Linked DNA regions of Struthio camelus. The main gene of each other region encodes a partner of the protein of the gene in region 4 in a complex. Links are inferred from orthologs where the notes say so. Each region holds a gene or a part of one and is shown on either strand. Other genes may lie near its edges.

What was found.
Region 1: SNRPE (region 4) and SRRM2 share a complex: the UniProt entries of both Homo sapiens proteins name them as parts of the minor spliceosome. The link is inferred for Struthio camelus from reciprocal best matches to the Homo sapiens genes SNRPE and SRRM2.
Region 2: SNRPE (region 4) and LSM2 share a complex: the UniProt entries of both Homo sapiens proteins name them as parts of the U4/U6-U5 tri-snRNP complex. The link is inferred for Struthio camelus from reciprocal best matches to the Homo sapiens genes SNRPE and LSM2.
Region 3: SNRPE (region 4) and USP39 share a complex: the UniProt entries of both Homo sapiens proteins name them as parts of the U4/U6-U5 tri-snRNP complex. The link is inferred for Struthio camelus from reciprocal best matches to the Homo sapiens genes SNRPE and USP39.

Annotation. Positions count from the first base shown.
Region 1 is NC_090973.1:761,989-769,412, forward strand, and holds the start of SRRM2 (serine/arginine repetitive matrix protein 2), read left to right. Parts: upstream 1-4,381; 5' UTR 4,382-4,569; intron 4,570-7,424. Other genes in the region: MFAP4 (microfibril-associated glycoprotein 4), read right to left, coding at 706-711. UniProt on the Homo sapiens protein: Required for pre-mRNA splicing as component of the spliceosome. As a component of the minor spliceosome, involved in the splicing of U12-type introns in pre-mRNAs.
Region 2 is NW_027182645.1:5,160-12,168, reverse strand, and holds LSM2 (U6 snRNA-associated Sm-like protein LSm2), read right to left. Parts: upstream 2,758-7,009; 5' UTR 2,688-2,757; coding exon 2,685-2,687; intron 2,525-2,684; coding exon 2,457-2,524; intron 1,545-2,456; coding exon 1,514-1,544; intron 1,330-1,513; coding exon 1,270-1,329; intron 874-1,269; coding exon 748-873; 3' UTR 506-747; downstream 1-505. UniProt on the Homo sapiens protein: Plays a role in pre-mRNA splicing as component of the U4/U6-U5 tri-snRNP complex that is involved in spliceosome assembly, and as component of the precatalytic spliceosome (spliceosome B complex).
Region 3 is NC_090968.1:1,819,761-1,827,674, reverse strand, and holds the start of USP39 (ubiquitin carboxyl-terminal hydrolase 39), read right to left. Parts: upstream 3,009-7,914; 5' UTR 2,993-3,008; coding exon 2,590-2,992; intron 2,195-2,589; coding exon 2,125-2,194; intron 2,001-2,124; coding exon 1,906-2,000; intron 1,561-1,905; coding exon 1,424-1,560; intron 1,005-1,423; coding exon 852-1,004; intron 738-851; coding exon 512-737; intron 361-511; coding exon 283-360; intron 1-282. Other genes in the region: C27H2orf68 (UPF0561 protein C2orf68 homolog), read left to right, coding at 3,330-3,628, 4,032-4,147, 4,834-4,979, 5,489-5,611; VAMP5 (vesicle-associated membrane protein 5), read right to left, coding at 7,135-7,338.
Region 4 is NC_090965.1:6,662,297-6,669,542, reverse strand, and holds SNRPE (small nuclear ribonucleoprotein E), read right to left. Parts: upstream 2,849-7,246; 5' UTR 2,729-2,848; coding exon 2,675-2,728; intron 2,504-2,674; coding exon 2,477-2,503; intron 1,920-2,476; coding exon 1,857-1,919; intron 1,621-1,856; coding exon 1,542-1,620; intron 788-1,541; coding exon 732-787; 3' UTR 506-731; downstream 1-505. Other genes in the region: ZC3H11A (zinc finger CCCH domain-containing protein 11A), read right to left, coding at 5,240-5,498, 6,255-6,322, 6,745-6,917. UniProt on the Homo sapiens protein: Plays a role in pre-mRNA splicing as a core component of the spliceosomal U1, U2, U4 and U5 small nuclear ribonucleoproteins (snRNPs), the building blocks of the spliceosome.

The DNA.
Region 1 (7,424 bases), on a different chromosome or scaffold from region 4:
CGTCCCCATCTTGTCCCTGTCCCCATCCCTGTCCCCATCCCTGTCCCGTCCCCGTCCCCGTCCCCGTCCCCATCTTGTCCCCGTCCCCGTCCCCGTCCCCATCCCCATCTTGTCCCCGTCCCCATCCCCGTCCCCGTCCCCGTCCCCATCCCCGTCCCCGTCCCCATCTTGTCCCTGTCCCCATCCCTGTCCCCATCCCTGTCCCGTCCCCGTCCCCATCTTGTCCCCGTCCCCATCTTGTCCCCGTCCCCGTCCCCGTCCCCGTCCCCATCTTGTCCCCGTCCCCATCCCTGTCCCATCCCCGTCCCCGTCCCGTCCCCGTCCCCGTCCCCGTGCGGGTCCCTGTGCAAGGGGACCTGGCCCGTCCCCGTCCCCATCTTGTCCCCATCCCCGTCCCTGTCCCCGTCCCCATCCCCGTCCCCATCCCCATCTTGTCCCCGTCCCCGTCCCTGTCCCCATCCCTGTCCCATCCCCGTCCCCATGCGGGTCCCCAACTTGTCCCCATCCCCGTCCCCATCCCCGTCCCCATCTTGTCCCCGTCCCCATCCCCGTCCCCGTCCCTGTCCCCATCTTGTCCCCATCCCCGTCCTGTCCCCATCCCCATCCCCGTCCCCGTCCCCGTCCCTGTCCCGTCCCCGTCCCCATCCCCGTCCCGTCCCTGTCCCCGTCCCGTCCCCGTGCGAGGGAGGCCCGGGGCGCCCGTACCTCCATGGCGCTCGCACGGCTCCTCGCCCGCCTCCGCCGGCCCCTCGCCCGGCCCCCCCGGCCCCCCCGGCCCCCCCCTCCTCCTCCTCCTCCTCCTCCTCCGCCGCCGGGACGGGACGGGACGGGACGGGGGGGCACCGGCGCTGGCACGCGGCCGGGGGACGTGGGGCGGCCGAGGGGACGTGCGAGGGGACGTGCAAGGAGATTTGGGGCGTGCGAGGGGACGTGGGGCGTGCGAGGGGACGTGCAAGGAGATGTGGGGCGTGCGAGGGGACGTGGGGCGTGCGAGGGGACGTGCAAGGAGATTTGGGGCGTGCGAGGGGACGTGGGGCGTGCGAGGGGACGTGCAAGGAGATTTGGGGCGTGCGAGGGGACGTGGGGCGTGCGAGGGGACGTGCAAGGAGATTTGGGGCGTGCGAGGGGACATGGGGACGTGTGAGGGGACGTGCAAGGAGATTTGGGGCGTGCGAGGGGACAGGGGACGTGCAAGGGGACAGGGGACGTGTGAGGGGACGTGCAAGGAGATTTGGGGTGTGCGAGGGGACAGGGGACGTGCAAGGGGACAGGGAACGTGTGAGGGGACGTGCAAGGAGATTTGGGGCGTGCGAGGGGACATTTGGGGCATGCGAGGGGACGTGCAAGGGGATGTGGGGTGTGCAAGGGGACAGGTGGCGTGCAAGGGGACGTGCAAGGAGATTTGGGGTGTGCAAGGGGACAGGTGGCGTGCAAGGGGACGTGCAAGGAGATTTGGGGTGTGCAAGGGGACAGGTGGTGTGCAAGGGGACGTGCAAGGGGATTTGGGGCGTGCGAGGGGACAGGGGACGTGCGAGGGGACAAGGGATGTGCGAGGGGACGTGCAAGGGGACGCGGGGCCTGCAAAGAGCCGTGCGAGGGGATAAGGACGTGCGAGGGGACGTGCAAGGAGATTTGGGGCGTGCGAGGGGACACAGGTCGTGCGAGGGGCTGTGGGGCGTGCGAGGGGACACAAGTCGTGCGAGGGGCCGTGCGAGGGGCCGTGGGGCGTGCGAGGGGACACAAGTCGTGCGAGGGGCCGTGCGAGGCGTTGGCCCCGGGCGCGAGCGTGCGAGGGGAAGGGGGGGGAGCGCACGCGCGCGTGCGAGGGGCCGCCGGCTCCGTGCGAGAGAGACACCCCCCCGGCCTGGCACGGACGCCGCTCGGCGCCGCCACAACAACGCGGGGGCGGTGGAGGGGGGGGGGGCGGAGGCGCCGTCTGAGGGCTGCCCGGACGCCTGGGCCCCTTGGCCGGGGGGGGGTGGGGGGAGCCTGGCCGGATGCCGCCGGGCCGGGTTAACCCCCACTTCGCCGTCCGCCTTCGTTAGCTGGTGCCGTTAACGAGGGCGGGGACGGCCTGGGGGGGAAACGGCCTTAACTCTGCCCTTTTGGGGGCAAAAACAGCCTTAACTCGGCCCTTTTGGGGGAAAAACGGCCTTAACTCGGCCCTTTTGGGGGAAAAACGGCCTTAACTCGGCCCTTTTGGGGGCAAAAACGGCCTTAACTCGGCCCTTTTGGGGGGAAAACGGCCTTAACTCGGCCCTTTTTGGGGCAAAAACGGCCTTAACTCGGCCCTTTTGGGGGGAAAACGGCCTTAACTCGGCCCTTTTTGGGGCAAAAACGGCCTTAACTCGGCCCTTTTGGGGGGAAAACGGCCTTAACTCGGCCCTTTTTGGGGCAAAAACGGCCTTAACTCGGCCCTTTTGGGGCAAAAACGGCCTTAACTCGGCCCTTTTGGGGGAAAAACGGCCTTAACTCGGCCCTTTTTGGGGCAAAAACGGCCTTAACTCGGCCCTTTTGGGGGAAAAACGGCCTTAACTCGGCCCTTTTGGGGCAAAAATGGCCTTAACTCGGCCCTTTTGGGGGGAAAACGGCCTTAACTCGGCCCTTTCCTGGGGCAAAAACGGCCTTAACTCGGCCCTTTTGGGGGGAAAACGGCCTTAACTCGGCCCTCTTGGGGGGAAAACGGCCTTAACTCGGCCCTCTTGGGGGCAAAAACGGCCTTAACTCGGCCCTTTTGGGGCAAAAACGGCCTTAACTCGGCCCTTTTGGGGGAAAAATGGCCTTAACTCGGCCCTTTTTTGGGGGAAAAACGGCCTTAACTCGGCCCTTTTTTGGGGGAAAAACGGCCTTAACTCGGCCCTTTTGGGGGGAAAACGGCCTTAACTCGGCCCTTTTGGGGGGAAAACGGCCTTAACTCGGCCCTTTCCTGGGGCAAAAATGGCCTTAACTTGGCCCTTTTGGGGGCAAAAATGGCTTTAACTCGGCCCCTTTTTGGGGCAATAAACATCTTAACTTTGCCCTTTTGGGGGCAAAAAACCCCACCTTAACTCGGCCCTTTTAGGGGCAAAAAAACCACCTTAACTCGGCCCCTTTGGAGGTAAAACCAGCCTTAATTCAGTCCTTTGTTGGGGCAAAAAACACCTTTACTCTGCCCTTTTGGGGGGCAAAACTCGCCTTAACTCTGCCCTTTCCTGGGGCATAATCGGCCTTAACTCGGCCTTTTTAGGGGCAAAAGGCAGCCTTAACTCTGCCTTTTTGGGGGTAAAAACAGCCTTAACTCGGCCCTTTTTTGGGGAGGCAAAAATAGCCTTAACTCTGCCCTTTTTGGGGCAAAAATGGCCTTAACTCGGCCCTTTTGGGGGCAAAAATGGCCTTAACTCAGCCCTTTTTAGGGGCAAAACTGGACTTACATCTACCCTTTCCTCAGGCAAAAATAGCCTTAACTCGGCCCTTTTTGGGGCAAAAACGGCCTTAACTCGGCCCTTTTTTGGGGCAATAAACATCCTAACTTTTCCCTTTTAGGGACAAAAAACCCCACCTTAACTCGGCCCTTTTGGGGGCAAAATCAGCCTTAACTCGGCCCTTTCCTGGGGCAAAACCGGACTTAACTCGGCCGATTTTGGGGGGGGGGGCAAAAACAGCCTTAACTCGGCCCTTTTGGGGGCAAAAAAGGCCCTAAATTGGCCCTTTCCTGGGGCAAAAAATAGGCTTAAATCTGCCCTTGGGGGGGGGGGCAAAACCGGCCTTAACTCGGTCCTTTTGGGGATAAAAACGGCTTTAACGGTCCATCGCCGGCGGGGACGCCTGGGCCCCCCGTTGGGGGGGGGGAGGGGGCTGGGGCCGGCTCGGGGACCCGGACGCCTGGGCCCCCTGGGGGAGAAGCGCTTCTGATTGGCTGGACGAAGCGCCCAGACGCTGGCGAGCGGCCAGCGCTGGGCCCACGTAACGCTGATTGGCTGGGCGCCCGGGAGGGGCGGTGCTGATTGGCTGGCGGCGGGCGCGGCCGGCGCTGATTGGTTGGCGGCGGAGCGAGGACATGGGCGATGCCCATTGGCCGGCGCTCGGCGGCCTCTTCCGCACCTGCGCGGAAGGAGGACGGGGCGCCCCCCCTCCTCCACGGGGAAGGTGGAGGCCACAAGATGGCGGGCGCCGCGAGGCACGCCGGGAGTTGTAGTCCCGCCCCGCCTCCCGCCGCTGGCAGCCGGGCGCCGCGCGGACTCCCGCTCCCGGCGTGCCCCGCGCGCAGGCGGCCAGCCGCCGCCACAAGATGGCGGCGCCGGCGCGCGGGGGCCGCCGGGAGTTGTAGTCCGGCGCCTCGTAACCCACCAATGGGCTCCGCGGGGAGGCGGAACTTCATTTCCCGGCGGGCCGTGCGCGCGCCGAAGTGACGTCAGCGGCGGGGCGGAGGAGGGGGGGGGGGAAGGGAAGAGAAGGGGCCGGAAGGGGAGGCCGCGCGGGTAGGCGGGGGCGCGTGGCGTCGCCTCGCGTCTCTTCGTCCGGGTCTCGCAGCCGCGGCAGCCTCGAGCGCGGGGGAGGGTCCCCGCGCGGCGCGAGCGGAGCCGCCGGCTGGTGAGACGGCGGGGAGGGGGCGAAGGGGAAAGGGAAGCAGATAACGCGGGGACGCGAGCGCGGGTGGGAGTGGGGGGGGCGGGCGCGCGCGTACGTGCGCGTGCGCCGCGGGCGACCGTTGGCCCCGGGGAGGGGGAGGGGCGGGCGCGCGGCGCGGCCGTTGGCCCGCGTGGGGGGGGGTGGGGGAGGGGCGCGGCAAGGGCCGTTCAGGAGCGGCCGTTAGGGGCGGGGGGGGCGTTTTGAGGGGGAAAACAAGGTTTTCATCGAGTTTGGGGTGCGGTTGTGAGGGAAAAGTGGGTGCGTGGAGGGGGATGGGGGAAGTTGTGAGGGGAAATGGGGTGCGGGAGGAGGTTTTTGGGGGGGAAAGTTTTTTTCAAGGAGCTTGGGGGGCAGTTGTGAGGGGAAAGTGGGTGCGTGGAGGGATTTTGGGGGGAAACAAGGTTTTCCTGGGGTTTGGGGTGCGGTTGTGAGGGAAAAGTGTGTGGGTGGAGGGAGATGGCGGAAGTTGTGAGGGGAAATGGGGTGCGGGAGAGGGTTTGGGGGGGGAAAAGTTTTTTGAAGGAGTTTGGGAGGCGGTAGTGAGGGGAAAGTGGGTGCGTGGAGGGATTTGGGGAGAGTTTTAGGGGAAAACAAAGTTTTCCTGGGGTTTGGGGTGCGGTTGTGAGGGAAAAGTGTTTAGGTGGAGGGTTTTGGGGGTAGTTTTAAGGGGAAAAAATTTTTTTCAGAGGTGCTTGGGTGCAGTTGTGAGGGAAAAGTGGGTGCGTGGAGAAGTTGGGGAGAGTTTTGGGGGAAAACAAGGTTTTCAAAGAGGTTTGGGGTGCAGTTGTGAGGAGAAAGTGGGAGCATAGAGGGTTTTGGGGGGCATTTTGAGGGGAAAAAGTTTTTCAGAGGGCTTTGGGGTGCGGCGGCGAGGTGAAAGTAGGTGTGTAGAGGATTTTGGGGAGAGTTTTAAGAGAAAACAAAGTTTTCAGAGGTGCTTGGGGTGCAGTTGTGAGGGGAAAGCAGGTGTGTGGAGAGATTTGGGGTGAGTTTTGAGGGAAAGCAAGGTTTTCAGAGCAATTTGGGATGCAGTTGTGAGGGGAAAGGGGGTGTGTGGAGGAGTTTGGGGGGAATTTTGGGGGAAAACAAGGTTTTCAAAGGGGTTTAGGGTGCAGTTGTGAAGGGAAAAGTGGGTGCGTGGAGAAGTTGAGAGTTTTGAGGGGAAAAAAGTGGTTTGAGGGCTTGGGGTGCAATTGTGACAGGAAAGTAGGGGTGTAGAGGATTTTGGGGAGAGTTTTAAGAGAAAACAAAGTTTTCAGAGGTGCTTGGGGTGCAGTTGTGAGGGGAAAGCGGGTGTGTGGAGGGATTTGGGGGGAGTTTTGAGGGAAAGCAAGGTTTTCCTGCAGTTTGGGGTGCAGTTGTGAGGGGAAAGCGGGTGTGTGGAGGAGTGAGGGAGAGTTTGGAGAGGAAGAAAGTGGTTTGAGGGCTTGGGGTGCAGTTGTGAGGGGAAAGTAAGGGTGTAGAGGGATTTGGGGTGAGTTTTGAGGGAAAACAAGGTTTTCATTGGGGTTTGGGGTGCAGTTGTGAGGGGAAAGTGGGAGCATAGAGAGTTTTGGGGGGAGTTTTGGGGAAAATTTTTCAGAGGGGTTTGGGGTGCGGTTGTGAGGGAAAAGTAATGGTGTAAAGGGATTTGGGGGGAGTTTTAGGGGAAAACAAGGTTTTCATTGGGGTTTGGGGTGCAGTTGTGAGGGGAAAGTGGGAGCATAGAGAGTTTTGGGGGGAGTTTTGGGGAAAATTTTTCAGAGGGGTTTGGGGTGCGGTTGTGAGGGAAAAGTAATGGTGTAAAGGGATTTGGGGGGAGTTTTAGGGGAAAACAAAGTTTTCATCAGGTTTGGGGTGCAGTTGTGAGGGGAAAAGTGGGTGCGTGGAGGGTTTTGGGGGGAGTTTTGGGGAAAATTTTTCAGAGGGGTTTGGGGTGCGGTTGTGAGGGAAAATTGTGTGGGTGGAGGGTTTTGGGAATTTTGGGGGAAAGCAAGGTTTTCAGAGCAATTTGGGGTGCAGTTGTGAGGGAAAAGTAGGTGTGTGGAGAAATTTGGGGAGAGTTTTGAGAGGAAAAAAGGTGGTTTGAGGGTTTGGGGTGCAGTTGTGAGGAGAAAGTGGGTGCGTGGAGGGTTTTGGGGGCGTTTTGAGGGAAAAAAGTTTTTCTAAGGGATTTGGGGTGCAGTTGTGAGGGGAAAGTGGGAGTGTGGAGGGGATGCGGGAGGAGTTTTAGGGGGAAAAAGCTTTTCAGAGTTTTTGGGGTGCAATTGTGAGGGGAAAATGGAGGATTTTGGGGGGGAAACGATTTTTCAGAGTGGTTTGGGGTGCGGTTACAAGGGGAAAAGTAGATGCGTGGAGAAGTTGGTGAGAATTTTGAGGGGAAAACAAGGTTTTCATCGGGTTTGGAGTGTAATTTTGAGGGAAAAGTGTGTGTGTGTAGGGGTTTAGGGGGAAAACGAAGTTTCCAGAGAGGTTTGGAGTGTAATTGTAAGGGAAGGTTGGACGCATGGGGGTGTTGGATAATTTTGAGGGGAAAAAATGTAGTTTGAGGGGTTTGGGGTGCAGTTGTGAGGAAAAAGTGGGTGTGCAGAGGCGTTTGGGGGGAGTTTTGGGGGAAAAAAGCTTTTTCAGAGTGGTTTGGGGTGCAGTTGTGAGGGAAAAATGGGTGTGTGGAGGGGTTTGGGGGCAGTTGAGAGGGGAACGGGGGAGTTTTGGGGGGAAAACCAAAATTTTCAGAGGGGTTTGGGGTGCAGTTGTGAGGGAAAAGTAGGTGCGTGGAGAAATTTGGGGGGAGTTTGGGGGGAAAAAAGCTTTTCAGAGGAGTTTTTGGGGTGCAG
Region 2 (7,009 bases), on a different chromosome or scaffold from region 4:
GCATGCGCCGCCAGCGCCTGCCCCCGCCCCGCGCATGCGCCCGTCCCGCCCCGCGCCCCGGGCTGCTCCCGGATTGGCTGCTGCCGCTGCGCAGGCTCAGTCAGCGCTGTGTGTGCGGGGGGGGGGGGGGAGGAGGGGGGCGGGGCGGGCTCCCGGATCATAGAGCCGTGCGGCTCGGCGGGGCAGAGCGGCCACCGCGGGTTACGGAGCGCGTCCGGCGACCCCTGGCGGCGGGCGAACAGCCGGGTCCTCCGGGGACCCCCAATCCCCCCCCACCCGGGACCCAGGCGTCCGAGACCCCCCCCCCAACGCCTTCCAGGGACCCAGGCGTCCGGGGAACGTTACCCTCCCCCCACCCAGGAGTCCAGGGCCCCCCAACTCCCCACCCGGGACCCCGGCATCCGGGACCCCCCAACCTCCCACCAGGGACCCCGGCATCCGGGACCCCCCAACCCCCCCCCGAGGGACCCCGGCGTCCGGGGACGCAGCCACGACACAGCCAGGTCCGGGTGCCCGTCACCAGCGTTTATTGCGCCCCGCCGCCGCCCGGACGCCGGGGCTCACCCCCCCGGCCCCCGCGGGGCTGGGGCGCAGCGGTGAACCCCGGCGTCCGGGCGAGCAGGGGGGTCTCGGGGAGGGCGTCGGGGTGAGGTAGAGAAACGGGGGGCAGCGGAGTGGGGGCCCCGGCATCCGGGCCGGGGAGGGGGTGACGGGGCCCCGGCGTCCGGGGGGCCCCGGCGTCCGGGCTCACTGCTTCTGCTGCAGGGCCTCCTTGCGGGCGGCGTCCTGGAGCAGCTGCGTGTCGACCTCGTCGGCCGGGAGCTGCACGTAGCGCACGACCGAGCCCCGGATGAAGCAGTTCTTCACCGACAGCTGCGGGGGACCCAGGCGTCCGGGCGTCAGCGGGGCCCCGGGGGACCCCGGCATCGGAGGGCCTGGGGCACCGCGGCCGGCCCGGGGGGGACCCAGGCGTCCAGGGTGGTTGGGCCCAGGTGTCCGGGGGACCCAGGTGTCCGGGAGACCCCGGCATCGGAGGGCCTGGGGCACCGCGGCCGGCCCGGGGGGGACCCAGGCGTCCGGGGGACCCCGGCATCGGAGGGCCTGGGGCCCGGGGGGGACCCAGGCGTCCGGGGGACCCCGGCATCGGAGGGCCTGGGGCACCGCGGCCGGCCCGGGGGGGACCCAGGCGTCCGGGGGACCCCGGCATCGGAGGGTCTGGGGCCCGGGGGGGACCCAGGCGTCCGGGGGACCCAGGCGTCCGGGCCTTACCATGTGCGGGTACTTCTCGGGGTCGGTGACGCTGATGTCCGTCAGTTTGATGTTCAGGTACTGCGGGGACGCGGGGGGGTCACGGCCTGGGAACCCCGAGGGTCCTGCCCCCGACGATCCCCTCCACCCCACAGACCCCCGTGGGCCCAACCTGCCCCCCCGGTCCCGTCCCACCGAGGGATCCAGCCCCCCCCCGGGACCCCCGCAGCCCCCTTCCCCCCCCGTGGCCCCTGGCCCCACTCACCTGGTCCACGGAGTGCAGCGTCCCGCAGATGCTGGGGGGAGAGAGAGTTACCCGGACGCCTGGGCCCCGTGGGGGGGGGGTCCCGGACGCCTGGGCCCCGTGGGGGGGGGGTCCCGGACGCCTGGGCCCCGTGGGGGGGGTCCCGGACGCCCGAGTCCCCGTGGGGGGGGGAGGCTGGACGCCTGGGCCCTGTAGGGGTGGGAGGCCGGACGCCTGGGCCCCGTGGGGGGGGGTTCCCGGACGTCTGGACCCCGTGGGGGGGTTCCCAGACGCCTGGGCCCCGTGGGGGGGGTCCCGGACGCCGGAGTCCCCGTGGGGGTGGGAGGCCGGATGCCGGAGTCCCCGTGGGGGTGGGAGGCCGGACGCCTGGGCCCCCGTGGGGGTGGGTCCCGGACGCCTGGGCCCCGTGGCGGGGGTCCCGGACGCCGGGGTCCCCGTGGGGGGGGGAGGCCGGACGCCTGGGCCCCGTGGGGGGGGGAGGCCGGACGCCTGGGCCCCGTGGCGGGGGTCCCGGACGCCGGGGTCCCCGTGGGGGGGGGAGGCCGGACGTCTGGACCCCGTGGGGGGGTTCCCGGACGCCTGGGCCCCGTGGGGGGGGTCCCGGACGCCGGAGTCCCCGTGGGGGTGGGAGGCCGGACGCCTGGACCCCCGTGGGGGTGGGTCCCGGACGCCTGTGCCCCGTGGGGGGGGTCCCGGACGCCGGAGTCCCCGTGGGGGTGGGAGGCCGGACGCCGGAGCCCCCGTGGGGGTGGGTCCCGGACGCCTGGGCCCCGTGGGGGGGGTCCCGGACGCCGGAGTCCCCGTGGGGGTGGGAGGCCGGACGCCTGGGCCCCCGTGGGGGTGGGTCCCGGACGCCTGGGCCCCGTGGCGGGGGTCCCGGACGCCGGGGTCCCCGTGGGGGTGGGAGGCCGGACGCCTGGGCCCCGTGGGGGGGGGTCCTCACCTGAGGTCGTTCTTGAGCTCCACCACGACGTCTTTGCCCACGAGGGACTTGAAGAAGGAGTAGAAAAGCTGCGGGGACACGGACACGGGGGTCGCGCGGGGCCGCTGCTGCCCGCCGCCGCCCCCGGCCCCGCGGCCCGCTCCGCCCCGCCCCCCCGGGCCCCCCCGGCGCTCCCGGCCCCCCCTCGAGCCCCCCGGGCCCCCCCACGAGCCCCCCGGCCCCGCCGACCATCGCGGCCGCCGCTGCCCCACGCGCCAGGGAACCGGCGAGGCCCCGCCCCCTTCCGCCGCGCGCGGAGCAGCCGCCCTGGCCCCGCCCCCGGGGGCGGACCCGCCGTCCTGGCCCCGCCCCCGAACGGAATCGCTGGTCTGGCCCCGCCCCGGGGGCGGACCCGCCGGCCTGGCCCCGCCCCCGAACGGAATCGCTGGTCTGGCCCCGCCCCCAGGGGCGGAGCCCGCCGCCCTGGCCCCGCCCCCGAACGGAATCGCCGCCCTGGCCCCGCCCCGGGGGCGGACCCGCCGGCCTGGCCCCGCCCCCGAACGGAATCGCTGGTCTGGCCCCGCCCCCGGGGGCGGACCCGCCGCCCTGGCCCCGCCCCCGAACGGAATCGCTGGTCTGGCCCCGCCCCCGGGGGCGCCCGCGGCACCCGGCCAGGCCGCCGCCCGCGGGCCCAGGCGTCGGAGGGGCCCCGGCGTCCGGCCGCGCCCCCGCCCCCGCCCATCGCCGCCCGGGCGGGGCCGCCGCGAGCGACCGGGCGCGGGAGGGGGACACGCGGGACACAGGGGACGTGGGGTGGGGACACGGGGGTCACGGGGACACGGGGGACACGGGGACCTGGGGGACGTGGGGTGGGGACACGGGGGTCACGGGGACATGGGGGTCACGGGGACATGGGGGTCACGGGGACCTGGGGGACGTGGGGTGGGGACACGGGGGTCACAGGGACACGGGGGTCACAGGGACACGGGGGTCACAGGGACATGGGGGACGTGGGGTGGGGACACGGGGGTCACAGGGACATGGGGGTCACGGGGACCTGGGGGACGTGGGGTGGGGACACGGGGGTCACGGGGACACGGGGGTCACAGGGACACGGGGGTCACGGGGACCTGGGGGACGTGGGGTGGGGACACGGGGGTCACAGGGACATGGGGGTCACAGGGACATGGGGGTCACGGGGACCTGGGGGACGTGGGGTGGGGACACGGGGGTCACGGGGACACGGGGGACACAGGGACACGGGGGACGTGGGGTGGGGACACGGGGGTCACGGGGACATGGGGGTCACAGGGACATGGGGGACACGGGGACTTGGGGGACACAGGGGTCACGGGGACTCGGGGGACACGGGGACCTGGGGGACGTGGGGTGGGGACACGGGGGTCACGGGGACACGGGGGTCACGGGGACATGGGGGACACGGGGGTCACGGGGACACGGGGGTCACAGGGACATGGGGGACACGGGGGTCACGGGGACACGGGGGTCACAGGGACACGGGGGTCACGGGGACCTGGGGGACGTGGGGTGGGGACACGGGGGTCACGGGGACACGGGGGTCACAGGGACACGGGGGTCACAGGGACACGGGGGACACGGGGGTCTCGAGGACCCGGGGGACACGGTGTGGGGACACGGGGGACGGGGATGGATCAGCGCTCTGGGACCGAGTCCCACCCCAGATGGGGCCCCACGTCCCTCTGCCCCCTCCCATGTCCCCCGTCCCCGTCCCCCCGTCCCCATGTTCATGTCCCCCCGTCCCCACACCCCCCTGTCCCCCATGTCCCGTGTGTCCCGTGTCCCCCATCCCCACACCCCCGTGTCCCCGTATCCCGTGTCCCGTGTCCCATGTCCCATGTCCCCGTGTGCCATGTCCCATGTGCCGTGTGCTGTGTCCCCGTGTCCCGTGTCCCCGTGTCTCGTGTCCCCGTGTGCCGTGTCCCCGTGTCCCCGTGTCCCCATGTCCCGTGTCCCATGTCCCGTGTCCCATGTCCCGTGTCCCGTGTCCCATGTCCCGTGTCCCATGTCCCGTGTCCCCATGTCCCCATGTCTCGTGTCCCGTGTCCCCGTGTCCCCGTGTCCCATGTCCCGTGTCTCGTGTCCCGTGTCCCGTGTCCCCATGTCCCGTGTCCCCATGTCCCCATGTCTCGTGTCCCATGTCCCGTGTCCCATGTCCCGTGTCCCATGTCCCGTGTCCCCATGTCCCCATGTCTCGTGTCCCGTGTCCCCGTGTCCCCGTGTCCCATGTCCCGTGTCTCGTGTCCCGTGTCCCGTGTCCCCATGTCCCGTGTCCCCATGTCCCCATGTCTCGTGTCCCATGTCCCGTGTCCCATGTCCCGTGTCCCATGTCCCGTGTCCCCATGTCCCCATGTCTCGTGTCCCGTGTCCCCATGTCCCCGTGTCCCATGTCCCGTGTCTCGTGTCCCATGTCCCCGTGTCCCCATGTCCCCATGTCCCGTGTCCCCGTGTCCCGTGTCTCCGTGTCCCGTGTCCCCATGTCCCGTGTCCCCGTGTCCCGTGTCCCCGTGTCCCGTGTCCCGTGTCTCGTGTCCCGTGTCCCGTGTCCCCGTGTCCCGTGTCCCCGTGTCCCCGTGTCCCCGTGTCTCGTGTCCCGTGTCCCCATGTCCCGTGTCCCGTGTCCCCGTGTCCCGTGTCCCCGTGTCCCCGTGTCCCCGTGTCTCGTGTCCCGTGTCCCCGTGTCCCGTGTCCCGTGTCCCCGTGTCCCGTGTCCCCGTGTCCCCGTGTCCCCATGTCCCGTGTCCCATGTCCCGTGTCCCATGTCCCGTGTCCCCATGTCCCCATGTCTCGTGTCCCGTGTCCCCATGTCCCCGTGTCCCATGTCCCGTGTCTCGTGTCCCATGTCCCCGTGTCCCCATGTCCCCATGTCCCGTGTCCCCGTGTCCCGTGTCCCCGTGTCCCGTGTCCCCGTGTCCCGTGTCTCCGTGTCCCGTGTCCCCGTGTCCCGTGTCCCCATGTCCCGTGTCCCCGTGTCCCGTGTCCCGTGTCTCCGTGTCCCGTGTCCCCATGTCCCGTGTCCCCGTGTCCCGTGTCCCCGTGTCCCGTGTCCCGTGTCCCGTGTCCCCGTGTCCCGTGTCCCCGTGTCCCCGTGTCCCCGTGTCTCGTGTCCCGTGTCCCCATGTCCCGTGTCCCGTGTCCCCGTGTCCCGTGTCCCCGTGTCCCCGTGTCCCCGTGTCTCGTGTCCCGTGTCCCCATGTCCCGTGTCCCATGTCCCGTGTCCCCGTGTCCCGTGTCCCCGTGTCCCCGTGTCCCCATGTCCTGTGTCCCATGTCCCGTGTCCCCATGTCCCCATGTCTCGTGTCCCATGTCCCGTGTCCCGTATCCCGTGTCCCCGTGTCCCCATGTCCTGTGTCCCATGTCCCGTGTCCCCATGTCCCCATGTCTCGTGTCCCATGTCCCGTGTCCCCGTGTCCCGTGTCCCCGTGTCCCCGTGTCCCCGTGTCTCGTGTCCCGTGTCCCCATGTCCCGTGTCCCGTGTCCCCGTGTCCCGTGTCGGTGTCGCACCCGCACGCCCACGGCCGGGCCGGACCGGGCGAACCGGCCCCACGGCCCCGTGACGACACGGCCCGGCCCCGCGCCGCCACCGCGATTTAAGGGCGGCTCCGGGGCGCCGCGGCACCGGCGGGACCCTGCGGTGAGCGGGACGGAGGGGGACGGGGACGGGGACGGGGACCCGCGGGACGGGGACGGAGGGGGACGGGGATGGGGACAGGGATGGAGGGGGACGGGGACGGGGATGGGGACGGAGGGGGACGGGGACCCGCGGGACGGGATGGGACGGGGACGGGGACCCACGGGATGGGGACGGGGATGGGGACAGAGGGGGACGGGGACGGGGATGGAGGGGGACGGGGACAGGGATGGGGATGGGGACGGGGACGGGGACGGAGGGGGACGGGGATGGGGACCCGCGGGATGGGATGGGGATGGAGGGGGACGGGGACGGGGACAGGATGGGATGGGACAGACAGGGACGGAGGGGGACAGGATGGGATGGGGATGTGGGACGGGGACAGGATGGGATGGGGATGGAGGGGGACGGGGACGGGGACAGGATGGGATGGGGATGTGGACGGGGGACGGACAAGGATGGGACGGGGACGTGGGCGGGGGGACAGATGGGGGGACCCCGGACATGGGGACACGGGACACGGGATGGGAGGGAGATGGGGATAGGATGGGGATGGGGACAGGGATGGACCCAGACAGGGGACACGGGGGGACAACACGGGACACGGGGACACGGGACATGGGATGGGGACACGGGATCGACCCAGACGGGGAGTCGACACGGGACACGGGGACACGGGACACAGGCAAGGGAGGGGGCCCGGGGCTGCGGTCTGCGTGCGTGTGCAGGCGTGTGCAGGCGTGTGCAGGCGTGTGCAGCTGTGTGCAGCCGTGTGCAGGCGTGTGCAGATGTGCGCAGTGCAGCCGTGTGCAGCCGTGTGCAGGTGTGCGCAGCGCAGGTGTGTGCAGCCGTGTGCAGGTGTGCGCAGTGCAGCCGTGTGCAGCCGTGTGCAGGTGTGCGCAGT
Region 3 (7,914 bases), on a different chromosome or scaffold from region 4:
GGTGGCTCAGCGCTGGTGTTCACACAGGGCAACGCAGGGCTAGGAGAGAGGCTAAAATCTTCTTTTAGCCAGCAACACCCTACAAGGCTCAGACCTCGCACCCAACTGCAAGCTGCAAAGTTGTCAGCCAGCTCTTTGCTCCCCCACGCGGCCGCTCTCAGGCAAGGATCGAGCAAGAGAGGTGATAAGCATCACAGGGGGACATCAGGGTGGCTGGGGCTGCCCCAAGGTTAAAACCAGCTGCGTGAAAGCAGCCTTCATCCCACAGCATCCTCCACTCACTCTTCTTCTTCTTCTTCGTGCCGCCCAGGGCTGAGTGCAGGGCATTCAGAAACCAAGAGAGAAAGTCGACTCCATCACCTGCAAGCCAGATGATAAATCAGCAGTGAACCCCTAGCAAGAGCACAAAGGAGCCTTGTCCTCCACCCAGCACCGTAGAGGGGTCTAACCCTCCTCGGCCACCTCTGGCACAGGGAAAGTGCTGCCTGTTGGCACAAGGCGCCTGTCTCACCCTGCTTGGTGATCTGGAAGTTTTTTTTGCTGCAGAGCACCACTGCCTGCAGCATCTCGTGGGGGGAGACGTGCGCCTTGAAGTTGCGCGGGTTCCACAGCTTCCGCATGAGCTCCCCAAAGCGCTGCACCAGCAGGAACATGATGTCCCCGGGCGGGCGCTTGATGTTTTTGTAGTTGTCTTCCTCCAAGAAGTAATTCCTCAGTGGCGGGACGTTGGAGAGGGCCTGCGCGCGCACAGGCGGTGATCAGCTGGGACGCACTCCCCGCTAGCCCCAGGGGGAAGTGGGTTTCCTCCACCTCCCCCCAGGGCGAGCTCAAAGGCCCTCGCGCGCCCGTACCTGGAGCACAGCGTTGGCGTAGTCGTTGGCCTTGATGTTGTTGAGCCCCACGATGCCCGGGAGGTACGTGGTGCCATCGTATGCCCGCGACAGCTTGGCCTGTTTGTCCAGGTTGGTGATCTGCTGCTTGGTGAAGGTGGGTTTCAGCACGTACTGAGAGAGAAGAGGGGAAACAGCGTCAGGCCAGGAAGCCAAAGCCAACCGGCCCCCCTCGCAGGCACTGCTGCAGTTCCCAGCGGCACCGTGCTCTGAAACCCTCCCAGGACGGAGATCTTGCCACCCTCCTGCCTCTTCCATGTGTTCTACCAGAACCCCTCTATCGCAAAGACTTAAGAAACTTTCATCCCTTTCACACAACCCTGCTGCCTTTCACGCGAGCAGGAACCGAGCAGAGACTCTCAGACACCTCGGTGCAGAGCTCCCCACCACCACTGGGCCTTGCAAAGCCTGACAGCCCAAGGGACATGAACCTAAATCCTCAGGTTTCAGTGCAGCTCAGAGGAGCAAACCACTTGCAGGGTCACAGCAGCCCTCCCCAGTCCCCCAGCCCCTCGCTGTGAAGGTCCCCGCACCGTGATGTCCTCCAGCGAGGAGTCGATGATCTCGTAGTTGTCAGGGAGGCAGTAAAACTTGAGGGTGTGCAGGTTGAGGAAAACATGGTGGCTGAACTGCACGCTGTGGATGTAGGCGTGAGACTTCAGCCCTCGGCCTGCCGAGGCAGAGGAAAGCATCAGGGACACAGGCCGCGAACAAGGGAACGCAAGACCATGCAGCCCAGGCGTCCGAGGGCTCAAACCTCAACTGTGAAGGAGCCAGCGAGGCCACGGGGAGTGTGGGATCCCACAAGCTCCAGAGCAGAGAGGGATGGATAAATGCATGTTTGGCCCCAAGCCGCAAAGGGAATCGCTCAAGGAACCTCAAGCGCGCGGGGACAGGTGAGAAACAACTCCCAGTCTGACTCGTGGGCTGCCTCCCCCTCATGCCAACGGACCCCAGGCAGCCTCCCACCAGCATGAGCCCCTCAGTGACCCCAGCCCCTGAGGCGAGAACTCACCCTGGAAGTACTTCCCACACACGAGGCAGGCGTAGACGTTGATGTGCGACAGCGAGATGGAGCAGAGCTTCTCAAAATCGAAATCCAGGACGCTCCTAAAGCAGGAAAAGGAGAAAGCCGCGGCGTATGGGGCAGCCCCCAAGGGAGCCATGCCCTGGGGTCGCCGCTCCGCTTGCCCTCCCAGTGCCCGTGGCTGGCCCACGGATCCTCCCCGCTCACTTGTTGATGGTGTCGAGGTAGGGGCAGTGCCGGCTTCGCTGGTCCTCGGGGTCGAAGCGGCCATAGCGCACTGTAGCGGGGAGCACGCAGCCCCATTAGTACCAGGCCCCCCGCCGTTCACGGCCTTCCTCCCGCGTAGCCCCGCTCCTCCAGGATCGTCCAGCCTCCTCCCCAGGTGGTGTCCCCATGCAGGGACACCAAAAACACCCCTGTCCCCCTCAGAGTGACATAAAACAACCCTCGGCCCCAGCAGGACCCCCCTGCGCACCCCCAGATCGGTCCCTCGGGTCACTCAGCATCACCCTCGGTCGTCCCCTCTGTGCACCCCCACGTCAGCCCCCGGTTTCCCCCGTGCACCCCCCACATCAGCCCCCGGCCCCCCCACCCCGTGCACCCCCAGACCTCCCCCAGCACCACCCCGGCAGCACCCCGGTTCCGCCCAGGCCCGGTGCCCCCGGTGCCCACCTGTGGGCTCGGGCTCAGGCTCGGAGTCACCGTCGGGCTCGCGCTCGCGCTTGATGCGCACCGGGCCGCCGCTGCCGCCGCCCGTGCCGGTGCCGGGGCCGCCGGTGCCGCCGCCCGTGCCGGTGCCGGGCTCGCGCTTGATGCGCGCGGGGTCCACCGGGAGGGGGAGGGGCTCTGCCACCTCCCGCCGGTCCCGGTCGCGGTCCCGATCCCGATCCCGGTCCCGGTCCCGGTCCCGCCCCCGCTCCGCCTCCCGCCGCCCCCGCGACCGCTCCGCCTCGCCCTCGCGGCGGCTCCGCGACGAGCCCCGCGACGACGACGACGACGAACCGCCGCCGCCGCCCGAGCCCCGCGGCGCCGCCCGCGCCTCCCGCTCCCGCTCCCGCTTGCCGCGGCTCGACATCCCGCCGCCCACTGCGCAGGCGCGGCGGCGGCGGCACTGCGCAGGCGCGGCGGCGGCACTGCGCAGGCGCCTCCCCAGGCCGGCGCGGGGGCACCGAGCCGTGAGTGAGAACTGCGCGTGCGCAAGAGCACGGACCGTGCGCTCCACCGCCCCCTATCTTCACCGCCGTTTCAGGCACTACGCATGCGCCGCTCCAATCCGGAAGGGTAGCGGCCGCACCCCCGCTAGCGCGCATGAGCGGGGGATCCGCCCGGAGCCGGGGAGGGGGGGGAGGCGGGGAACCTCCTTAGCGCTTGCGCAGTGCGCCGGCTCCCGCCCGCTGGCGGCGCTGCGGCGCATGCCCACCGGCGCCGGTGCGGCCGGCGGGGCTTTTAAAGAGACAGCGTCCCTTTTCCAACCGGGTGCGGTGTGCAGCGCCGTGCACCCTCGGGGGTCCGGCTCCGGGGACAGTCCCGGCCGCTCCCCGCCACCGCCGGTGCCCGCGGGGGGTAGGCTGCAGGGGGCGGCGGCGGCGGCGGGCCGGTCCCGGGAGCGGCGGCCGATGGAGGCGGGCGCGGGCTGGCGTTGCCGGCCGGGCGGGCGGCTCGACATGAGCCACGGCTTCGTGCGCCACATCCGCCGCAACCAGATCGCCAGGTACCGGCACCGGGGCCGCCTCGCGGCCCCCCGCCCGCCCCCCGGACCTCACCGGGGCCCCCTCAGGGCCCCATGACGCCCCAAAGCCCCCCCCCGGGACCCCAAGGCACCCCCGGGACCCCAGTGGAGCCCCGGGACCCCTCCTGCCCCTCCAGCGCCCCTGTCTCCCCCCCCCGGGACCCCAAAACATCTCCGGGATCCCCCCGGGACGCCCCCCTCCTCCCCCCACCGGAGCCCAGTGCATCACCGGGACACCCCCCCCCCGGGTCCCCCATGTCCTCCCGACCCCCCGTCTCCTCCCGCTCACCTCCCCCGGGCCCCCTTTGCCGGCGGCGCGGTGCCGGTGCCGGGGGCGGCAGCGCTGAGCGGGTCGGTGCCGGTACCGGTGCCGGTGCCGGTGCAGGGACGCCTACGAGCGGGCGGTGCGGCAGGCCCGGGGGCGGGCACGGAAGCGCCACACACCGGCCCCACCGCGGCCCCGCCGACCCGACCAGCAGGTCTACCGGCCCCGCGGCCCCGGTGAGCCCCGGCGGTGGGAGGGGGGGCGGGGGGGGGACGCTGGGGAGGGGAGCAGCCGAGGGAGGGGGCTGAGACGTGGGGGGGCACCCCGGGGTGGGCCAGGGCATGGTGGGCACCCGAAGGGGAGGGATGGGGATGGGGGGGCACCCTGGGATGCAGTGGGGCATGGGGGGCACCCTGGGGTGGGCCATGGTACAGGGAGCACTCAGGGGAGGGATGGGGATGGGGGGGCACCCCGGGGTGGGCTGGGGCGTGGGGGCACCCAAGGGGGAGGCTAAGACATGGGGGGGCACCCTAAGGTGGGCTAGGGCATAGGGGGTACCCTGGGATGCAGTGGGGCATGGGGGGCACCCTGGGGTGGGCCATGGTACAGGGAGCACCCAAGGGAGGGATGGGGATGGGGGACACCTAAGGGAGGGATGGGGTCTTGGGGGGCACCCAGAAGAGGTTTGGGTCACAAAGGGTGCCCTGGGGTGAGCCAGGACATGAGGGGCACCCTGGGGTGTCCCAGGATGTGGGGGGCACCCAAGGTGTGCTAGGGCATGGGGAGCACCCTAGGGTAGGTTGGGGAGTGAGGGGCACCCAAAGGAGGGCTGGGGGGGGGGGCTGGTGCCTGGGGGCACCCTAGGGTGGGCTGGGGCATGAAGGATACTCGGAGCACCCAGTGCCCCCGCGACACCGCTCAGGGTGCTGGGTGCCAGCAGCGGGGGCAGAGCGGAGCCCAGCCGAGAGCAGCGCGGGTGCCACCGCCGCGGACGCCCGCGGGCCCCGGCTCTTCTGCCTCGAGTACGAGGGGGACGACGGGAGCGTCACTGCTGTGATCGTGCACCAGGTGGGCACCCCAGGGACCCAGGCGTCCGGGTACCCCCACCTCTAACCACAGCACTGCGCTACCGCGTTTCAAGGGCGTCCCACGGTGCGCTGGGGGGAAGCTGGGTCCCCTCCTGCCTGGGCAATGCTGTGAGTGCCCCTGGGGCGCAGGGGGGCTGTGGGTGCTGGGTGCAGGTGGGTGCTGTGGGCTGCTGTGGGTGCTAGTTGCCCCAGGTGTAGGTGGGTGCCTTTAGGTTTAAGGGGTGGACAGTGGGTTTTAGGTGCTCCGGGAGGCAGTGGGTGCCTTTGGGGGGGGGGTACTCTGGGGTACAGGCAGGTGCTGTGGGGGATGGCAAGTGCCCCAGCACCCAGATGGGTGCTATGGGGGTGGCGGGTGCCCCTGGGTGCAGACAGGTGCTGTGGAGTGCGCAGCAAGTGCAGCGGGTGCCCCAGAGCATGGGGGGCAGCAGGAAACCTGGGGGGATGGCGGGCACCCACGGGTGCCACTGACAGGGGGTGGGGGCGCCACAGGCGGACAGCGCGGAGGAGGTGACGCAGCGGGTGTGCGCCCGGAGCCCGCTGGAGCCCGCCCTGCGCCGGGCCCTGTGCCAGCGGGTGCAGGACGAGCTCAGCAAGCGCCGTGGGACCCGGTGATGGGGACACCTTCCTCCGGCTCTGCCCCACCACCCAGCAGTGCCAGCGGCAGGGGGGACACTGCCAGCCCGGAGGGGACAGCGTCAGCCGGTGCCGGTCGGCATTTGATGCCAATAAAGGTGCTGCGAGTCCCCGGCGTGCGGCTCTCATTGGGGACCCTGGGGATACTGAGACATGGGGTGGGGGCACCAGGAGCCTGGCAGGGACCCCGGGGCCGTGCTGGTGGGTGCCGAGGTGCTGCATGCGTGGGTGCTGGCGTGGCCGCACCGGGGCCGCTCTCCAGGGGTCTGCAGCGTGGCCTCACCCGTTGCCATCCACCCCAGGGACGTCACCCGACATCTCCCGTCTTGTCCCCTCCCAGGGCTCTGGAGTGGCATGGCCAGGGCCATTGGGTCCCCAGTGTCCCCATCCTTTCCCTGGGGTCCCCTCCCAGGTGTGGGGCTGCGGCACCTACAGCAGTGGGACAGACTCTGGGATCTGTAGTGGTTTTGGTTTTTTAATCACGGTAGCGGCTATAAAGAGACTCACAGTGGAGACGGTCCTGGCTCCGGTGCCCACCTGGGCAGGGGGTGCCAGGCTGTGCCACAGGCACCTGGGCGATGCCACAGGGTGCCAGGGCGATTCCTGGGTGACACTTGCCCAGGGATGCCGTGCCCCAGGAGGGGTCCAGGCTGTGCCCTGTACCCGGGCGATGCCAGGCCACCTTGGGGTGCAGGGAAGTGGTACCAGGCTGCAGCACCCTGGGGTCCTGCCATGCCCCACCCTGGGCAGGGGGATGGGACTGGAGATGGGTGACATTCCCAGGGTGGGGACCGCACTGCCGGATGCCTGGGTCCTTGACCGTCCCCATTGGGGCACCCAAGGCGGAGCTGGCAGAGGGCGATTTCTCCCTGCCCAAGCAGTGCCCCCAGGTCAGGGTCACCCCTTCCTGCAGTGCTTTGTTATTGTAGGGCCTCCCCAAAGCAGGGCCTGGTTATTGTCAGCTCTCTCTAGAGTGGGTTCTAGGGCCTTGTTATTGTAGGGTCTCCTTGGAGCAGGTCCCACTGGCTTGGTATGGTAGTGTCTCCCCGAAGCAGGCTTGGGCTTTGTTATTGTAGGGTCTTCCTAGAGTGGGTCCTGCTGGTCTGTCATTGTAGGGTCTTCTTGGAGCAGGACCCAGTGGTTTTTTATTGCAGGGTCTCCCCAAAGTGGGCCCAGTAGCTTGTTATTGTAGGGTCTCCCTGGAGTGGGTTCTGCTGGCTTGTTATTGTAGGGTCTCCCTGGAGTGGGTCCTGGTGAGCTGTTATTGTAGGGTCTCCTTGAAGCAGATCCCACTGGCTTGTTATTGTAGGGTCTCCCTGGAGTGGGTCCTGGTGAGCTGTTATTGTAGGGCCTCCCCAAAGTAGGTCCCCATGGTTTGTTACTGGGTCCCCCCAAAGCAGATCCTGGTGGCTTGTTATTGTAGAATCTCCCTGAAGCAGGTCCCAGGTTGCGAGTTATTGTAGGGTCTCCAGAGGCACTGGCGGGGGGGCAGGCCGGGGGGCTCAGTCCCCACCAGGGGCGGCGCGGGTGACGGTGGGGGGCACAGGGGGGGTGGCGCGGGTGCCACCTAGCCACAGTGCCAGCACCACGATGAGGATGATGATGGCAAGGCCAACAGCCAGCCCCACCAGCACCAGGCACCAGCGCCGTTGCCCAGCCCGCTGCTTCTGTGCCACCGCCCGGCTCGTCCGCGTGAACGTCTGGCCCTGGTGGCAAACAGCACATGGGTGCCGGGATGGGCACCGCCACACTGGGCCACCCCAAGGTGCCCATGTGAGGCTTGATGTCTTCATGGTGCCTACCCAGCAAGGTGGCCCAGGGCCACATGTCTCTATGGTGCCCACCCAGCATGGTGTCCAGGGTCATATGGCCCTGTGATGCCCATCCAGGGCTCTGTGTCTCCATGGTGTCCACCCAGCACAGTACCCAGGCCCATATATCTCTGTGGTGGCCATCCAGGACTCTCTGTCCCCACCATGCCCATCCAGCACAGTGCCTGTGGCCATATGTCCCCATGGTGGCCATCCAGGGCTCCACATCCCCACTGTACCCACCCAGCATGGTGCCCCAGGCCATATGTCCCCATGGTGGCCATCCAGGGCTCTATGTCCCCAATGTGCCCCCCCAGCATGGTGCCCAGAGCCGTATGTCCCCATGGTGGGTGTCCAGGGCTCTACGTCCCCACCGTGCCCACCCAGCACAATGCCCAGAGCCATACATCCCCATGGTGACCATCCAGGCCTCGACAATCCCATTGTGCCCACCCAGCATGGTGCCCAGGG
Region 4 (7,246 bases):
AACTAACTCCATCTGAAGATAAAAGTTACTTTGAAAGCATGAAGAACAGTAAAGTTTGCAAATGTCAGATTATTATACTACAGCCCCAACTCCCTTGCCAACCCGCTAACAAACTTGTAAAGACTGATGCACAAGGAGCACTCCTGTACAAAATCTCAGGAAATTAGGTGTTTTTTCCTCAAGAAATTAGGTGTTGGTTGTTTTGTTTAGAAAATGTCTCAGGAAGCTGTCATAGCGGGCACTGAGGGCTGTAACTGCATATTCTTGTATTCTTGGGGAAAATCTATAACAACTTCACTAGAACCACGCAAGCTCAAGGACTGCACGTGGCTCCAGCATCCTTTCCGAACAAGTCTATCTTGTCAACATAACGCAGATTTGATGTTCCAGAACACAGAGTTGTTTCTCTTATCAGAAACTGCATAGACCCATGGTGAAAAGAACCCCAAACACATTTCTCCCCTTCCTCCACTCATAGAAGGACATGAGACTGAAAACAAGCAGATTTATGTTTACAGTTAACATGAAAAATGTTTATTTGTGAAATACATCTTTTATGGTATCGAAGTTAAAAAAAAATACTCCCACAAAGCTACAAACCATTTTAACCTCAGCATGCAACCCCAGCTACACGTAGCTTCCTATCTACCAGCAGCTCATGTTCCCATGACCTAGCACTTTATCCGCTCTGAAGCACAGTAACTATTGTTCTAAGGGAAGAACAGCAAATTCTAGTTAGAAACACTTTGTAGAAGAGTGATATTGTCCCCTTTTAACATGATCCGACCTGCAACACAGAGAAAGGAAAGGGGGAATTAGAAAGATCCCAGGGTCTGAGAATAACCTCATATTTTCAAATAACATTTCACAAAGGGAAAGATGTTTGCAAGAAGATGCCCACATGATAACTGACGAGTTTTTTTTTCAGACTACGGTCACAGACAGTCTCTTCCTTGCTGGCCACACCACAGGACTACAAGCCTGGCAGCACATGGCCCACGTGCACAGTTCACACTACAGCGTATCAGACACAATCTCCATTCTAGTGCTCTGCGCCCCAGCAGCACTATGCCCCCGGTAAGAGCCTGAACACATCGCTTGTCACAGACCGTTGCTTATCTTCATCAGCAGATGGCAAATACTACATACCACCACTTAGGTGGTTCCTTGCTTTGACTCAGAGGTGGCACAGCACGTGTAAAAATTTCTTAGAGATATCTGTTTTAGATGAAGCTGAAAGGAGTTTTGCCTGAACTCCTCCAGCCCTGGCTGCAGGAAAAAAGAGAGAGATGCAGCACAGACCTTACATTGTTACACACATTTAAAAGCTGAAAATAGGTCTCAGGCACTGACAGATTCTCCTGTATATCCAACAAAACCACCAAATCAACAAAGAGCAGGCACACAGATCTAGCCAGTATCCTTCCACTATACTTCAAACTCAAAACTCTTCACATGTTGTGTATTTTAAAGCGCTGCCATTTGGAAGGCTCAAATAACCACGTTTCAGATCATGCATCGCTTAGGTTATACAGACATACCGAGCTGTTTCCTTGATTTCGTTTTTGAGTGAATCTCCTCTGCGTCGTCCAGAACCAAGTTCATATATTCATCAAAGCCCTAAAAAACAACAACAAAAGCAGTTAGCGAGCTCAGTCTCCTACTCTTAACTTCAGCAACAGTGATACGAACTATCAATAAATATGCTGACACAGGCTAGACAATTAAGACCATTCACTGGAGGCATAAGGAGTGCTCTTTCAATCTGTGCTAGTTTCCCTTGACGAGAAGAAATAGAATCTGTGACTCTGGAGAAACTAACAAAAGAAATAATAAGGGTACCTCCTGATACTCACAATGATGCATCCTTCTATCCGCATGTTCACTTGCTCATAGAGCCAGACCTGGATCCTGGACCTCTGCAAAACGATGGGGGAAGAGAGCAAAATACGAACATAAACACCCCAAGCAATTTTGTTCCTCTCTCCTGTAAACTGAGAGCTCAGCTGGATCCTTACTACCACCAGCCACCGCAGCTCTATGGCTACATCCATTCAAAGGACAAACTCTCAAATATGGTCTCAATCACGTCCTCAGACATCTTTTAAGATGTTTTTCTCAGCGATTTGGAAAAGTCGTGGAAGCACATGTACGAGCCTGTATTTTAAAACAGACACAGAAGAACGGCCCTGCTCGTGTGACGTGATGATCAAACTCCCACTAGGGAGGTAACCTGTGAACGTGTAAAGGAAATCCTCAACTTGGAACCTGCTGTTCTGTACCCGAAAGATAGCGAGCTCTTCAGCTACCAGAAAACGGCTTTAAAAAACGTGTGTGTGGAGGGGGAGGGGGAATTCCACCAGCCAAACCCGCTGCTGTACCCGGCAGCAGCTCCAGGCCCTCGCCAGGGCCGGGACTCCTCTCGCCCCCCCCCACCCCCCCAAACCCCGTCCCGCCCCCCGGCCCCGGTACTCACGTTTTGCAGGTAGCGGAAGATGAGGTTCTGGAGCGCAGCGTTAAGGGCAGCACCACGGCACGGGGCACGGAGCCCGGCAACGACACGCCGTCCCCGCCGCCCGGCCCGCTCCTCCCCGCCGCCCCCCCCCCCGTCACCCCCCCACGGCCGGGAGCGGAGGCCGCCGCGGCCCTGCTCTCTCCGCCGGCGGAAGGATACGATGGGCTGCACCATCACCTTCTGCACCTTCTGGCCCTGCCCGCGGTACGCCATGGCCGCTGCTCCTCCGCCGCCGCCGCCGCCGCCCGGGCCCGCCGCCAGGCACGCGCTCCCGCCACCGCCACAGCCGCCGCCGCCGCCGGAAGCCGCTGGGCACGCCGGGAGAGCGCGCGGCGCTCTGGGACTGCGGGAGGACTTGGCGCGCTGCCCGGCCGCTCTAGGACCGGCGGGAGGACCGCCGCTCGACTTGCTCCGTGCGGGGCCAAAAGGGTAACCAGAGGGCTGGGGCGAGGGGGGAAGCTCAGGGGGGCAGCCCAGCTCTCTGCCCAGGACCAGGGGGCCTCAGGGAATGAGGGAGGAGGGTCCTAGCCTCCACCTTTGGGGGCCTGGGGAACTGGCCCCCTCCAGCCCTGGGGGGCTTAGCAAAGCAGGGAGGTGCAGGGGACTGTCCCCCCACCCCAGCCCAGGGCAGGGGTTGGCTCCAGCACCCTTCAGCCCCTGCTGCTCGGCCCCTCTCACCTCTCTGGGTGCAGGCAGACCCCCCCCCCCCCAAACACCTCCGGCTGCTGCAGACAGACCACGTGTCACCAGCTTTCCTACGCCAGGTTTATTTAAAAACACCTGTAACTGCCATCACGTAGAACAGTTCAACTAATGGTGAACGTGGAGGAGCTGGACTACATTTAATACAATACCTTAAATAGAATACAAATATAAAATGAAAGAATAAAATATTTACAGAAACAATGGCATACACAAAATCCCGTCTCCAGGGACAGAGCCTCTCGGCTCAGAGGCGGCAAAGGCTGACAACAGAAGAGAATATTCTGCTTAAACAACAGCAAGGAGAGAAAAAGCAAGGGGGAAGTCTTCCACACCACGGTCTCTCACGTGTGCTTCTCTCCTCCTCAAAGTCACTTCTGTCTGTGCACAAGCAGCCAGAGCTGGCAGAAGTCGCATCATGAAAAAGTCCTTCAGCAGGATAAAGGGCAGCGCTGTCCTGCCCACTTTGTAGGAAGTTTCCAACTTGGTGACCCTTCTGGAACTAGAACAGCAGTTTCTTCAGAAAGGGCTTTGCTAATTTTGGTTCAAACTTTTCCTCTAGGAACTAAGACATCACAGTGGATTATCAAAGCACACAAGTGTTTTCTTCCAAAGAGAAAAATATTTACAATAAGCTAAACAGCTGATTTTCCTCTGCCAGCAGCAAACGCCTGAGGGCCCCTACAGCTTCACAAATCATAACAGGAAGAGACTAAAGTTCTCCAGAAATTTAAGAAAATAATTAAAAAATATATCTGCTAGGGAAAATGATCACTGGTGGCAGGGTACACAATAGACCCCAGTCTCAGCTATTTTCTGCAGGGTCGCAATTTCAGACTGCGCATTCAGATGGCCAGTAACCTCCCGTCCCGACTCCAATGCGTACTTCTACATGGAGCTCAAGCCTCAAAGGTGCGTTGGGGGTATAGGGGAGATGAAAGGAAGGGAGCCCCAGGACATGCCTAAAAAGGAGAGCACAGTCAGTCCTGCAGCAGTACCAAGTACCAAGATTGCTTGTCTGGGCACCGGCCTCCTGTTGGTTCAATGCCACAAATGACCACCCGATCAGACAGATGCCACATGGCCAACAGGAGTTCAAATAAAGCTGACAGTCAGTGTTTTAATGTTAGCCCTAGCAGCTGTCACTTCCCAGCAGAAGAGCCAGCAACTCAGGGGAGTGATTCCTGGAACCAAGAGGCACTTAAACCAATTCTTCATTTACCAATTTACTGCAGACTATAAGAGGAATCCTGACTTCTCAACCCAGAATCCTATTCACTTCAGCAAAAAGCACCAAAACCCCCAAGCTTTGATACAGTACAATGAAAGGGGGGGGGAGGGTATTCTAGCTGTACTGTATAGCTGCTGCTTTTCACACTGACATTGTGTTATCCCTGATAATCGAGGAGAAGTAAGGCTGGATGGACTGACTCCAACCACCACCCTTGGCAGCATGTTTGGTCCAAAATGCAAGAAGTAATCATTCTGCTCCCTCCCACCCCTTCGTTTTCATTAATTTGCCCTAAAAGAGTAAAGTCAAAATGATAGCATACATAAATAGAAATCAAGAGTTGACATAGTAACTCCAAGCTTTAGCATCAACTGTCCAAGAAATCAGAATGCAAAAACCTTGAAATACACCCAACGTTGTGTTTTGCCAAGGGCAGGGGAGGCAGGGAAAGAAGCTTTAAGTTTAAGCCTTCAGAGCATCACTGACTCAGTAGATCAATTCACAACCACCACAGCTTGCAGATGGGCATCTTTCTGGTCTGAAATAAAGAAGTGCTTTGTCCTCTTAATATTGAAGGTAGCCACCAATAGTAACAGAACGGATGCGCAGGACTTGAACTCTGACCAGCAGGGAAATCTAGGACAACTGAGTGCAGATATTGCCAATTTCTACCAGTTCAACTGTGCTTTAAGACTCATTGCAAAGCCTCAGCTAGAAAAAGGATCATCTCAGGGTATCCAACAAAATATACAGTTTTAATTTTTTTTTTTTGAAACAGAAGAATATGCAGTTCAGCTGTCAATCATCTCAGAAAGTTCAAGAAGGAGGTCATCCTCATCTTTCCCTGGGTCCAGATCAATTTCTGCTTCTAGTTTGCCTCCTGAGATTTCCCAAATAAGCTTCTCAAAGTCATCTTCTACAGATAAAGGTGCTTTCCCAGCCCCTGTGGAGCTTAACCGGCGCGTCTTTACCACTGCTTGTGAAGAAGTTGAGCTTGAGACCTCTGACTGTGCCACAGAATCTGCCTGGCTTACAATATGCAGTTCAGCACTTGGGAGAACAAGAAAGAGAACAATCAGTATGTGATATTCCTTAACTAGAGATGCATTTTCTGCCAACTAGCTCTTAAAACTGCAGCTAATCCCTCCTACACTTTACACAGGGATCATTATTCAATCAAGCTGGGGCTACTTTAGGTTCTCATACACTAATATTAGCAGATACATTTTCAGTTTGAGGATTCGTCTGTGAAAACAGAACAGCTGGAGATCTGGCAAAGACGGTTCAATTTTTGTAGCCAGAGACACTGTGCCACATTTACTAATTTGACTGTTAAGAGGTCAAGGAGTCAACCTCTGCAAATACCTGTTTACTATTTTAGTTATTTTTCCCATGACATGCTCTGCAGACTTTGCTCCCAAATACAGGAAGTTGATCCTCATATACCATCTCTCTCTCCTCTTCCAACAGTCTTTGCCCAGATGTATGTTTGGTTCTAGAGAATGCCATTGCAAAGAAAGAGGTCTTCCTCCATCCCGACCCATCTCCAACTTCATCTCATCTTCATTCAAGTTTTCAGATAACCCAAGAAGACACTATCAACTGGCAGCACTTTAAAGGGAAGCGTCTAAATAACAACTCCTTCCCGCTGCTGGAAAACGCATTCATATGATTTGTCCTAGCAGAGTTCTTCATTTGATTTTGGCATTAATCATCTCAAAACTCTAATTTTTCCACATGTGAAAGAACGTATGTTTCAAGTGAAAGCCACAGTGACCCAGAAAAAGAACAAGTTTTGGTTGTCACCTGTCTTTGGGTTTTTCTCTTTCAGGTATAGTGACCAAGTTATCCTCTGGCAGGGCTGGAACAACAGCCTGGGAAGAAACAAGACAGTGTTTATGACACACAAGTAAATGATTTCTTAGCAGATGCTTCTTCCACACTGCTTCTCCTCTGGCATTGCTGAGCCTTAACCAAAATCCAGAGCCAGGGCTTTCCTGAGAAAAGTTGATATTAACTTCAAGCTTTCCAACGACCTCGTATTTTTTAAGAGCGCAGCATTAATGGAAAACACCACATAGAAATCATACTAGAGTATTATGAAAACACTGTCATGCCTCTAATAAAAAATAAAGAGGTACAACAACCACCCTGCAGATCGTTACTGGACCTAAGAGGGAACAAAAGACATACAGAACACCCGTTTTCCATTTTTCCAACTTTTGTCCAAGAGGAGGGTAAAACTGAAGCATAAATTTTACTAGGGACCAGCAACTGTCTCAGCTAGCGTCCTTACCACAGTTGCTTTTTTAGCTGGAGGCTCCTTCATGTCACCACCACCAGTGCTGCTCAATGGTTTCACAGCTGCCACAGCAGAGGGATGACTCTCAGCTGCCCTACGTTTCAGGGCCTGCTTTGTAGGGGAGGTGGCTTTCCCATCCGATGGCTTCATGCTCGCCTTAGATTTGGCTAGAACAAAAGGAAAAGAGAACTGATATAGTCTTGCTCTGCCACAAGAAAAATCCAGGTTCTCTTAACGTTCCCATAATCCTTCCTCAGTTCATTAAAATATATTTGGCAGCAGAACTGCACTGCTATTTCCCAGACTCTCAGTAACATTTGATATACAGAGAACTGTTTACTCACAATCCATAAAGAGGAGCAAAGAAACTCAACAGCAACACTAAATAATAGACCAGGACAAGGAAAACTCAAACACAGTGCAATCTTAAGTGAAAGTAGTACTTTTTCTAAAGCACAGTATGGAGTCTAAGAAAGTTCACAAATAGAAACAATTT